Linked DNA regions of Arabidopsis thaliana. The protein of the gene in region 1 purifies or fractionates together with the protein of each later gene. This does not show direct contact. Each region holds a gene or a part of one and is shown in the gene's direction. Other genes may lie near its edges.

Evidence for each region.
Region 2: the proteins of AT2G32520 (region 1) and AT1G16080 fractionate together in Arabidopsis thaliana (co-fractionation; one large-scale study listed by BioGRID). This does not show direct contact.

What each region holds. Positions count from the first base shown.
Region 1 is NC_003071.7:13,803,753-13,810,723, reverse strand, and holds AT2G32520 (alpha/beta-Hydrolases superfamily protein), read left to right. Parts: upstream 1-3,013; 5' UTR 3,014-3,047; coding exon 3,048-3,329; intron 3,330-3,408; exon of another isoform or gene 3,409-3,618; coding exon of another isoform or gene 3,619-3,624; intron 3,625-3,984; coding exon 3,985-4,127; intron 4,128-4,208; coding exon 4,209-4,338; intron 4,339-4,418; coding exon 4,419-4,610; intron 4,611-4,694; coding exon 4,695-4,901; 3' UTR 4,902-5,435; downstream 5,436-6,971. Other genes in the region: CSLB03 (cellulose synthase-like B3), read right to left, coding at 1-29, 126-251, 633-951, 1,179-1,441.
Region 2 is NC_003070.9:5,511,046-5,517,230, forward strand, and holds AT1G16080 (nuclear protein), read left to right. Parts: upstream 1-3,216; 5' UTR 3,217-3,348; coding exon 3,349-3,697; intron 3,698-3,863; coding exon 3,864-4,081; intron 4,082-4,170; coding exon 4,171-4,299; intron 4,300-4,373; coding exon 4,374-4,505; intron 4,506-4,602; coding exon 4,603-4,716; 3' UTR 4,717-4,982; downstream 4,983-6,185. Other genes in the region: ADAP (ARIA-interacting double AP2 domain protein), read left to right, coding at 101-564; TLP8 (tubby like protein 8), read right to left, coding at 854-929, 1,032-1,099, 1,179-1,271, 1,342-1,431, 1,522-1,618, 1,711-1,766, 1,859-2,035, 2,116-2,230 and 1 more; WAKL7 (wall associated kinase-like 7), read left to right, coding at 5,214-5,817, 5,863-6,023, 6,066-6,137.

The sequences.
Region 1 (6,971 bases):
CCGACACCTCCCTTGTTCTCCCATACCACCTTCACATACACACGTAAAAGAGGTCATTTAATTGTTATAATTACCCTCTTTTGTTAGAGACTATTTGTTATTACTATCGAAAATTGTAATAATACCTTTACTATAGTTGAATGATCATTTGGTTTTGTATTCGAGAAATCTTCAAAGTCATCTTCTGCATCCAACCAATGGGAATCTCCAGTGGCATCTTCCACCCTCCTGCTTAATTTCTCGTACTCCCTCTTAATGTTGATACAAAAACATAATTTCAAGAAAATTCCTAATAATTAATACGAAAATTTGGAACAATTAATATCAAAAGCTAAGAACAAATTTTGATCTTCGTCCCAATTGTTTTAAACGCAAAAATCTGATTGTGCTAATTAATTGATTTTGTTTTTCTTTATCTTTCTATAAATCACAGCATTGTCATAATGTTTTAAAGAACACAAATTCGAAACATCAACGATTTCTTCTACTTTACCTTCTACAATTTACAAATAATGTTTGATTGAAAATAAATTATGTGTTCTTCTTGAAAGTAAACGAAATCATTTAATTTGTAAACACAATTGCAAAATTAAACTCATACGCCGAAAAAACAATTAAACCCTTTAATTTACCTTGGTTATTTCCCAGTCTTTACTGAATTCAGAACTTTCTGTTGCGGCTGGAGGGTTCAAAAAATATCTAAAAGGAGCTCTAACTTTAATGTTATATTTTTTGCAGAAGGGAACCCAAATCTTGGCGAACTTAGAAGCTTCCTTGAGAGAGAAGTAAGTGAGAGGTGAGCATCCATCATCCGATACATAACAAGCAAGTTTATTCGCTGGATAATTCACTGCTAACAGCGAAAGCAACGTGTTTGCTACAAGAATCGGCGGCTCCCGAACAGGATCCGCAGTAGTCACAAACATATCTACCGATGGAAGGTCATGAACCCTGAAATTATTTAATTACTAAGAGTCTTATATTTTCAAATTTTTACTAGCTAGTCCACTAAAATAGAAAGATAACAGAAAAAAATGAATGATATTTCGTGAGGAAAAAAAAACTTAAGAGTTAGGTTTCAGCTAGCTAGGACTTAGGTTTTATACAAAATTAAAAGAACATATGCTTTTAATATGCATGATTGTATATATAATTGTAAGTGTAATATAAATTGATACCTTTCATCAAGTCTTTCAGGATATGATTTATATGAAGCAGGACTCCATTTTATGCTGGTAATAAGAAGCCATATGAAAGAGAAAAAGGATTCACAGAGGAAAGCCACAACCCAAACGGAGTTGTTTTGGTTCATAAGTAGAATTCGGTACAAGAGAAGAGAAAAGAGAAAGCCTAGAATCGTGAGATCCACAACTCTTAGAAAATAGTTTTTGTATGAGATCTTCTCGCAAAGAGGAGGGAGAGAAGAACTTGAATCTGCCATGGGAGGAGATTTCTTGTGAGCTTTCTTGCGGTTTTTGGATATGTTTATATAGGGTTAAGTAAAATAATGCGTCGTCACGTCTATGAATGCTTGTATATATAAAATATAGGACCGATTGGCCACACAAAATCGTATAAGTTTTTTAGCAAGTAGAAAAAACGGTAAGAGATACAAAAATAGTTTAAAAACGATATAAAGTAGCGGTACGAAAGAAAAAAAAATCATAAAACTTAAAATATCGTTTTTAGTAGCATCCTTTGATTGATTATTATCAAAGCAATATACTCCATACTACAGCGGTATTGGATACCAATCAACCCATAATGTGTAGTAGTGTTTAGTTAGGAAGAAAAAAAAAGATACACAAGAGAAAGGACAATAATAAATTAGTCATAGTCAAATTCCATTGGACTAGTTTGTCAAATAGATACATGACTTCACAAATGGTGTATGTACTACATATTATTTTTTTGTAAAACGTATTGTATGTCTAGATTATACATTGTGGTAAATAAATATAGATTTGTAGAATGGAGGCCAAAATATACACAGAAATTGGAATTTGAACTTATAGATGTTTAGCACTAGACTGATACTATATATTAAGTTACACCCTATCAAAACTTTTTCAACGAAAATAAGTCTCATTAAATTCGATCGTTTCTCTAAACATTATTAATGATCCACTAAGCTACATATATACATTTTTGCATGATGTGTCTCGCTGTATGTATATCTTTGTCTATTTGTGGTGGCTATTTTGTGGTTTGGTTCAAATTAGGATAACGATAAAGTTTGTCTTTTTATTCCGTTTGCTCTTGTGGTGAATGATGAGTAGTCGTCACGCAAATTAAAGTCACGTACGTAACATTTTTTTGTTGTTGTTGAAGAACGTTTCTTTATCATTGTTATACAACAAAAATTTAAAATTATTATAGAAAGCGAAATCAATAACTTGCCTTTATTTCCTCGCATCGCCATTTTGGGAATTGAAAAGAAACGTGATGAACTCTTTCATTTATCCCAATTGAGATGTGGCTATATATGCCCTTTGATACATGCACTATACCTTTTAAATTCAAATTCATGGAACTAATCATATGTATATAAAGTTAATACGTATCACATATGACATCTCTTGGTAGATATTTTGTGATTGATTTTTGTTCCGATATCACTTATCTAGATATTGGCTTCGTAAGCCCTATATATCTCTTATTTTCAAAAACTTAACGTCCATATATATACACATAATACAGTACTGTGTATGTGTATATATATGGACGTTAAGTTTGGGTTTTGAAGTCAACTAGTTGACTTTAAAACCCAAAATACTATAGAAAGGACGAAATCATTGAGTCATTTTCATGAAATCGAGAAACCACGAATCTTACAAAAACAAAATCAAGCTGGTCCTGTCATGGTTACAAAATCCACAAAAAAAATAATTTCTTATATTGATATAAGCTAATAATTGGGAGAAAAGAGACAACGCCGTAGCAGAGGCGATGCTGGCTTTTTGGATATTACCAAACTACTATTTACGTATTATCGTCGTCGCAAATACAAATACAAATACAAAAAAGGACTTGATTATTTGGGCCTAATGGCCCATATATTTTTAAAAATATACCGGGCCCAGATTCACACTCACAGATACGTCGTCGTTTTTGTGTCGTTTGGGGTTGACTCTGAAGAATTTCTTTCCTCACAAGACACAAAAACAATGTTAAGTACACTAGTGTCATCCTCATCCAGATTCTTCTCTTCTTCAATCGGAAAAACTTCTTCGCTCTATAGATCCTCGATTCCTTCGTTTTCTCGCTTATCAGTGCGATCAATGGCGGATTCAGCTTTCAGGAAAATTCAGATCCAAAGAGATGACACTGTAAGAGCTTCTCTTTTTTGTCTCTCCCTGAGTTTTTTTTCTACTTAGTGCCATTTTTATGGTTGTGTTTGGTGTATCATAAGCTTCGACTGTATCCGTAGTGCCTGATTTTGAAGTAAAAAAAAATTTTGGTTATCCTTTCCGTTGAATGAAAATCATCATTTCTTTTGATATCCCCCAAATCTCGGAATCTGTTGTGTATGATGTATGGATTATATTTGATTTATCATTTCAATGGCGTTTCTGCTTCAGGATTGTGTAGTGTTGTTCTGTGGTAGAGAAACTGGGAATGAGAGTAAGAGATGTTATTATTGCTTAGCTACTTCTGAAGATCTCCGTATAATCATAGTCCTTATCAGGTTTGGTTATAGAACTGGTTGATTTAAGAAGGAAGATTGTGAGTTTAGGTTTCAGTTCACAAATGATCAGTATAGTGATAAACAGTTTAGGTATTGTTTTGGTCAGAGTTTTCGGCGATGTTATGCTTTGCTTGTAACTCTCTCCATGGATAGACTGGTTTCTCTTGAACATTGGAGTTTCTTGATTATTAGGATTGTGAAAAATGCATTTGATTTAGCTATTTTTTTGTGTATGATTCTTCTATAATCTTGATTTTACTCTAAAGAAAACTTATACACTGTGGTCTGTTGGTTAGACATTTGATGCCTATGTGGTCGGTAAAGATGATGCGCCTGGGATTGTGGTGATTCAAGAATGGTGGGGTGTTGACTTTGAGATCAAGAACCATGCTATTAAAATCTCACAACTTGAGCCTGGATTCAAAGCCCTTATACCTGAGTGAGTGCTTCTTTAACTGCAAGATTCAGTTTTGTAAATTATGGTTCATTGAGTATCGTCTCACAATATTATATTTTGTAGCTTGTATCGAGGAAAGGTTGGTTTGGATACTGCAGAGGCACAGCATCTAATGGATGGCCTTGATTGGCCAGGTGCTATCAAAGATATCCGCGCTTCTGTTAATTGGCTAAAATCCAATGGCTCAAAAAAGGTGCTAAACTTAAACAAAGTTCTTTCAGTTCGCATAAAATTCTTGAGGAAAATGCAGATGAATTATAATTGTTGTGACAGGTTGGTGTCACTGGAATGTGCATGGGAGGTGCATTAGCTATAGCTAGCTCTGTATTGGTTCCTGAGGTGGATGCTGTTGTTGGATTCTATGGAACCCCTTCCTCAGAGCTCGCAGATCCAGCACAAGCTAAGGCACCTATTCAGGCTCATTTTGGAGAGCTCGACAATTTTGTCGGTTTTTCTGATGTCACGGTATGTGTATATACACTACACTACATCTCAACTTTTCTGAAATTGACATGAGATCCCATCATGAATTATTACAAACCTTTGCAGGCAGCAAAGAATCTCGAAGAGAAGCTGAAAGCGTCTGGAGTAGCACATGAAGTTCACATCTATCCAGGTAATGGACACGCGTTCTTGAACAGGAGTCCAGAAGGAGTGAGCAGAAGGAAAAGCATGGGACTTTCTGATGAAGATGAAGCCGCAGTGGAGCTTGCTTGGTCTCGCTTCACCTCCTGGATGAAACAGTACTTGGCTTAAGCTTTCTTCCATCAGGCAGCAATGGTTGATGTAAGTCCCAAAACGTTGTGTGATGCCCAATCATCTTTAAATAAGGACATTGCTCTTAGAACTTTTAATCTGAACCAAATAAAGAGGTTTGTTTACTTGTGAATCAGTATTGAGTGGAAATGTTCGAAGCCTTTTTTGTAAATTAGGACTAATATCGATGTGTCTCGTCTTTTTGTAATTGTAATGAGTTCAATCCCGGAAACTAGGAAATGATAGTGTACATGTAGTAAAACTGAATTACTGCCAAGTCTGTTATATCAGCTTATAAGTACTCAATTGTGAATACATCAAAGACATTCTCCTAGCAAGGCGTTTCCGCTTAGGCTGCACACGTCGGCTCTCTCAATGGTCTCCCATGCTTAGCAAACTCATGTAATCACAAGTTTCTTTGTAATAGTTATCTAAGGCTTTTTTAAAAAATTTGGTCTTAGAAGCTCCTTGCCCCAAGCTTTTGTAAATAAACATGTTCCTTTTGGTAATATAATTCACATTTTATCAAAAAAAAATAAAAAAAAATATGAATACATCTTAATCAGGGGGGAAATCTATTTAATTTATAGGACAATGTGAACTCAATTTAAGCCAATGGTAGCTCCTCTTATCATATCAACAAGAATGCGAAAATGATAGGATAACAGATTGTCTTCCTGTCAAAATAGCACGTTTTCCAGCATTGTCTACGTACAGTACTTTTGTTTTGTTTGTCGGCAAAAAGTATTTGTAAAAAGTATGTATTAATGTACGTAGTATTAGAGCCTCCTCTAAAGTCTTAAATAAAGTATAAAGGATTTGAAGGGTAACCATTATTATAGTTGTACAGCTTTGACGGTTATTAATCACAAAACTTTATAAAAAACGTTACTAAACATTTTATTTTTCTTTTTTTTTGTAAGACTTTCTCATACAGTTTTTTTTGTACATTTTTGCATTATTCCAAAAAAAATATACATTTCCAGTTGACAGCTAAAATTTTTGTACAACATAAGTTTTTATAGATAGTTTAATTCATTCAGGTTTTATAAACATATAGATTTCAACATTAATATAATAAAAAAACTAATTAAAAACTATGTCTAAAAGTAGAAAACTAAAAAAAAAACAGGGAAAGGACACCATATGGAATATAACTCGAGGATAGACATACGGATTAATACATCCAACTTATATGAAATGAGATTAAATGTATTGTTAGGATTCACCAAAAAAATTAGATTTGTATATATGTTATGTAATTAGTATATGCCATGGATATATCATACCTTTCTAACTAATTTTAGTTATGATTTTAGATACTGAATGATTAACATAATTCATGTTCAAAAAAGCTACTGAATTTGGGCATATACATAATAAGCTCTTACTTTCGAATCACACAAATGCTTTCAATTATATTTCATTCCTTTACTAATTGGAACCTAAATATTAAACAAAAACAAAAGTACATGAGAAACAGAATTAAATAGTAACCACGTTTTCTTTGATAAAACAAGATAGATCTTGTGCTGATCTTGTTTAGAAGTGTAGTGTCGGTTAGCAACTAGAAGCGGCTAAACACTTCCCAAGCTGTGTTCACATTTTCTCACCAACATAAGAAATACGTCATTCAGTTTTGCTCCAATATCTTTCTTTTGTATATCACATGCCGACAAATGATACCAAGCTAATATCAAATCAACCGACAAATTGTGATTCTGTATAATTACTAAATTAGTAACCCATAAAACGTGCATGAGGTAAAGGAACCACGCGATTCATGGCCAATGGCAAGTGAGACAAAAACAAATTTGTTGAAATAATTAATATAAAAAAAGTGAGAACAAATTTGATGATATGATATATTTTGGACTATTTTATTCACTGATTAAACATCCGTTGCAAATAGAGAACACTTAAAAGATTAGACAAAAAAAAATCTACCATAAAGAACATTAAACCCATAAAAAGGTAAATTTTGATACTCCAACGTTTGGAGCAGTAAAATCTAGAACAAAAATGGAGATCAACTTTGATCACCGTAGATATCCACATAAAACTACCCTC
Region 2 (6,185 bases), on another chromosome or scaffold:
TTGGGGAGTAAAACGTAATAATTAACAAACCAAAGAATTAGAAGTTTCATAAATTGTCTTAAACTTCTCAATGTGACATTTTGCACCCCTTTTATTGTAGCGACGCAAGAAGAAGCAGCTATAGCGTACGATATCGCAGCTATCGAGTACCGTGGACTCAACGCCGTTACTAACTTCGACATCAGCCGTTATCTGAAACTCCCGGTGCCGGAGAACCCTATCGATACCGCGAATAATCTCCTCGAGAGTCCGCATTCTGATCTTAGCCCATTTATAAAACCTAACCACGAGTCTGACTTATCACAGAGTCAATCTTCGTCAGAGGACAACGATGATCGGAAAACAAAGCTCTTGAAGTCGTCACCTTTAGTGGCAGAGGAGGTAATCGGACCATCGACGCCACCTGAGATTGCTCCGCCTCGTCGGAGCTTCCCGGAAGATATCCAGACGTATTTCGGGTGTCAAAACTCCGGCAAGTTAACGGCGGAGGAAGATGATGTTATCTTCGGTGATTTAGATTCTTTCCTTACGCCTGATTTCTACAGCGAGTTAAATGATTGCTAAAGTGTTGTTCTTCTGATAAGTTTTGTTTTTTAGTTGTTCAGAATCTCGGTTGTGAAAATCAACATTGACACATCGATTATTCTTTCTTGTGACAATCTTATATAATAAAGTTTGAATCTTTTTAACAGTTGTCCACTTTCAGTTTCCTCTGATGGTGAATTTGATTTGAGAGGTACTGAGGTAGTTTGTGAAACTCAGATAGAGGAATTGTTTATGTAGAAAAGTAAGGTATACAGATGATGATCATTGGAGGGATGTTCAGAGATTGAACTCGTCCGTTTATTAATGATCAAACAGTACAACAAAGCTTGGAATCAATAGAAGCCAAGCAAATGCAGAATGCTTGGTAGCCTGAGAATGGATACCTGCAAACAGATAAAGCAAAAGACTTTTAGATGATAAAGCCTTTAATCCTAAGCTTATAAGTATGTTTATGTTTGGCTCATTCTGGTTTGAGCAAGTAGTACCTGAAGTCGATTACATATCTTGCTTTGTCAACTCTCCCCATTTGAAGAATTGTCTGCCTTGGAGTCTCCTGCTTATACCAAATTACACAATGTTTAGGATTCTTGAGATTGGTTTTTGATCAAAGCTTTAAAGTTGTGGAAATGCACCGTGAGTGTTAGCTGAAAGTTCTTCACCGAGCTCTGTATTCTCAGTCCTGTTCTTCCTCTGTCTCTGAAGTCTAACTCATGCTGCTTGGAGATCTAAAGAAAGGGGAAGACACAATGAATTTCATGCTTTACAAAATCAACAATGATGCCCGGTGAGACTTACTTTGTTGTAATGTGGTATCCTTGAGCATAGCTTCTGAATTTTTTCCTTATTCTCAAGCCAATCAAGCGGTAGTTTACTAGCTTGTTGAACCTATAAGGAGATACATACATACGTGTATTAACAGTTTTATGTTTTCGGAATGCAAGATTGATGGAGAGAAGTTTAAGATTAGGCATTTACCTGCTTATTGTTGTTTTTCTGCATTGGCTGCTGCTTTGGTAGCAAAGTTCTCATTCTTCTGTAGCTCCCTGTCCAAGTTGTTATGGTGGGTGTGAATCTGCAGAAGCCAACAGATGCATAAGCAAACCCAAAACTAAGGCAGAGGCAAATTCATCAAAAAACACGGCATTCAAAATCCTCAACGCTTACATTACAACCGAAAGAAGCGGCTTCACCATTTTACCTACAGAACCAACTCGAACTCCCTGCAATGGAATCAAAAGACCAGAAACATTCATACTCGATTTCCAACCTATAAGCAGAACCAACACCGTTACATTGAGCTTGAATTTCTGACCTTGTCCCATATGTAGTACTTGGAACCCAAGAGATTAGCCGTCATGGAACCGACATAACTTTCATCCGAACTGCACAGCAATCCCTTAACATTCTGTGCCACCCTAAATATAGATTTCCCATTACGTCGGCTATGGTAAGCAACTGCTAACTTCCGGTCTTTACGCCCCCGACCTTCCTGAGATATCAGAAACATTGATATCACTACATCTCAATTCTCACTCAGCATCATGGTAAATCGAATATCTATATACTTACATGTGTATAAAGTGAATATACAGATCCGTGGCTCAAGCCTTCAGGTGATTGTTCTTTCACAATCAGACAAGTGCATCTTCCCACATCCAAAGGTAGTGTCTTGCACAACAAAGCCCTGTTTAACAAGTATATACATAGTTTCAGACATGTTTAGAACAATGAAAGCACAAGAATCTTGGTAATAGCCGTGTTTTTACCTGTTGGGCAAAGTAGACCAAGAGGAAGCAGGGGCAGCTTCAGAATCCGAAAACTCCCACACTTTCAACGAACTTGAATGCTCTGAATCAACACTAGTCCAAGTTTTCATTCCGAAACTACTCTTATCAACCTCACTGTTCTTCTGCATACACGCTTGCAGTGATGACTGCTTCAGAGCTGTTCGACCACCAGTTGAGAAAGATTTGAAATTTGTAACTTCCGTTGGAAACCCAGAGTTACCCTTCATCGATTGAGACTTCAAAGCTCGATCTAGTTTCCGAGTTTCCACAGAGGTAGAGACTTTCTCCGGCGACACATTCTCCTTATCCTCTCCCTTTTGAGTGGATAAAGACCCTGTAATTGTGTCCACATTTCCCTTATTTTCCTCCAACAAATCATTCACTTTTCTCGAACCAGCCATGTTTTTTTTCCCTTTCTGGATGGATTGCTTTCAAGTATCAAGTTTAGAACTTTCTGGGAGCTAAGTTTATATCTTTATAGATTTTGAAGACATGAATCTAGAAACAGGTGTTTGACAATGGTACTGAGTTGAAAGTAACGTTTTTATAAAGTCCCACAGTGTTTCCATTTGAATTTGAATAGCCATTGGGGATTGTGCGAGCACAGAACCAAAGACACAGATGGACTTTTCTTTTCTTGTCTTAAACACAAAGGTTTTTTAGATGTCTGCGTTTGGTTTTTGCCCTTTTTCTACTTTCTACGGACCCAACGGTCAATACACGATAGTGGGATTTTGATTAATATTTTGTCGTTTTCCTTTGTCGGGAAACTGAAAGGTTGATGATTGGATTGAGGTTTAGCGGGAACTGTGTTTCAAACACTCAAACACTTAAAGTATCAACAACCTGCCGTTTTTTATATTTATCAACGTCATGCCGTTTTATCTTCGTGAGTCATCCAAAACCGATAAGCCAGAGCCTCAAACCATCGAGTGGCTGTTAAACCATACTGTTCAAATTAGTCCAACCAAAACCATGAGAGGCCACAACATCGTCGAAGCCCATTATTATCACCATGGCTAAAGCCAGTAGTACTCTGTTTGCTGTTTCCTGCTCCGCTTCAGCTCGTTTCTCTTTCCTCCGACGCTCTGAATCTCTTAAACCCTCAGTTTCAAGAGCGAGATTCGCCGTTCCAATGGCTATGGCCGCCGCGTCAGCTGCCACCGCTAAAAAACTAGCGCCTGCTGTGATTGTGGGTGGCGGAAGAGTCGGAAGGGCGTTACAGGAAATGGGTAATGGCGAGGATTTGTTGGTGAAGAGAGGAGAAGCAGTTCCGGTTGATTTTGAAGGACCCATTTTGGTTTGTACAAGAAATGATGATCTCGATGCTGTTCTTGAAGCTACTCCTCAGTCTAGATGGAAAGGTAGAAACTTTCATAGGCCCTAAGAATCATTAGTGAGCCAAATTGTTAGATGTTTTAGGGCGTTTGATCATCGCAGAGCACAATTCAAATGATCAGATTATCAAATTTTGATTGTTTCTTCAGTTTATGACTTGGTATAGTAAAAACGTTGTGTGTAATTAATCAGATTTGGTCTTCTTCCAAAATGGAATGATGGAGCCGTGGTTTGAGAGCAAAGGTTTGGGTGATACAGACCAAGTGTTGGCCTATTTTGCTGTGTCAAAGCTCGGCGAGCCTCCCGTGGATGGAAAGACTGACACTAACCCAGAAGGTCTTACTGCTGCTTATGGAAAATGGGCTTCAGAGATAGCTGCAAGATTGCAATCTGGTGGCCTCTCTTGCAAGGTTACAAGAAGCAAATCTTTGTTTTATGATAACGCAGAAGCTGCATGGATATACTAAATGTGTTCTTTTGTCGGTGTTTCTGTGGTTAGGTACTTGACAAAGAAGCTTTTCAGAAGCAAATGTTGGAGAAACTCATTTGGATTTGTGCATTTATGCTTGTTGGAGCTCGTCATCCAGGTGCAAGTGTTGGCACGGTGGAGAAAGAATACAGAGATGAAGTACCGAAATTCCATTCCTCGTTTCGTTTTAGCATTCAAAATCGTTGTTTAGTGCTAATTACTTATACATTCAGGTGTCGAGACTCATCCAAGAACTTGCAGCAGCTGCTGCCGCGGAAAAAGGACTAACCTTTGAAGAGAACATGGTGGAAAGACTATGTGCTTATTCACGAGCTGTTTCTCATTTCCCAACTGCTGTTAAAGAAGTACATATATCACTTTTATCATCCTTGATCTCTCTCTTTCAATGCATGTGCATGTGCATCAGTATCTGTTTCACAACTAGTTTTCTGATTATTGCAGTTTAAATGGAGGAATGGTTGGTTTTATTCACTCTCAGAGAAGGCGATTGCGGAAGGGCAACCGGATCCGTGTCCCCTCCATACCGAATGGCTGAAAGAGCTTAAAGTGATATAGAGCCAGTCTTTCTAAATTGTGAGTATCTGGATTAAGTATCATTCTTACATATTTTAAGTAGATGATCTGAAACTAGTGTCAACTGTGTACACGCCTGAGAAGTGAAAAAAAGATGTAATTTTTTAATAAAGAAAGAGAATCAGTTCACGCTTTGTAAAATGTCCAGACTTTTATATGTGTAAACTTGTGCATTTTCAAGAATCAAAACTTTTCTGCTTCTAGACTCCCATCAATTAGGGAAGACTAGAATCTTCAATAATAAACAAATTATGACAGATACCTATGTAGACTCTTTGGAATCATCAATAGTTGACAAAGTAAGAGGCAGGATCGTCCACGCTTGTTTGAATTTTCAGCCTTTGCAGGCAAGGTGGTCCAAGTAGGCAACTGTGGTTTCTTCGGTTAGTTACTATATAACACATAATTCTATATTAGCTTTAGCTTTAGCTTCACATAACATAACTCAGTTTTCTACAAAGAAAAAAAAACAGAGCATAATGAGCAGAGAGAAGTTTTCCATATATAACTTGCTCTCTCTTCTGGTTCTGCTGATCCATGGTTTGATTGCAGCATCTGCTCAAGATCTCACTGTCTTCAGTTCTTGTCAAAGCCATTGCGGGGGAATAGCGATTCCTTATCCCTTTGGAATTGGTAAAGATTGCTATCTCAACAACAATGAGTGGTATGAAGTTATCTGTAACCGAACCTCAGGAAACCCTCTGCCAGTTCTTAAGAGTATCAACAGAGAACTGGTGAATATCTCTCTCCCGGACGACTCAAGCGATGTCTTTGGGCTAACCCGAATCAAGAATCCGGTAACTTCTTTAGGCTGTTCCAATATGGAAGAAATCAGCTTGGCTTTGAATGTGACCGGGAGCCCATTCTTCCTCACCGGCCGTAATACTTTAGTAGCAGTTGGCTGTAACAACAATGCCTCGATGACTGATGATAAGCTGCAGATTGGAGGATGCGAGTCTACCTGCGACGTGGGGTTTGGTCAGAGAGGACGGAACAGAAGCTGCAACGGCTATAGATGTTGCCAAGCGAAGATACTCTCTGACCGTCTGCAACAGATTGGCATCAAGATAGAGAGTCTTGATGGTAACACAACGAAATAAGCTGGGTGCAGAGTTGCTTTCTTGACAGACGAGGCATATTCTCCTTTAAATATAACCGAACCAGCTTTGTTTTACGATAAGGGATATGGAACGGTGGAGTTAGGTTGGTTCATAGATAGGTTACACAATATGTCCGTTGTACTGGGGTTTGCTATTCAATTACCGAGGGTACAAGCGGTTGGAGTTACAGTAACTATGAAGCTTGCATATGTAGATATGGTAAGTATTTAGAGCGAAGCTATAGAAGCTGCAGGTGTAACAGTGGCTACAGAGGCAATCCATATCTCTCGAGTGGATGTACAGGTAAACTAACATTTTCTGGTATAACTTTGCGTTAGTTTCTGTAAGCTC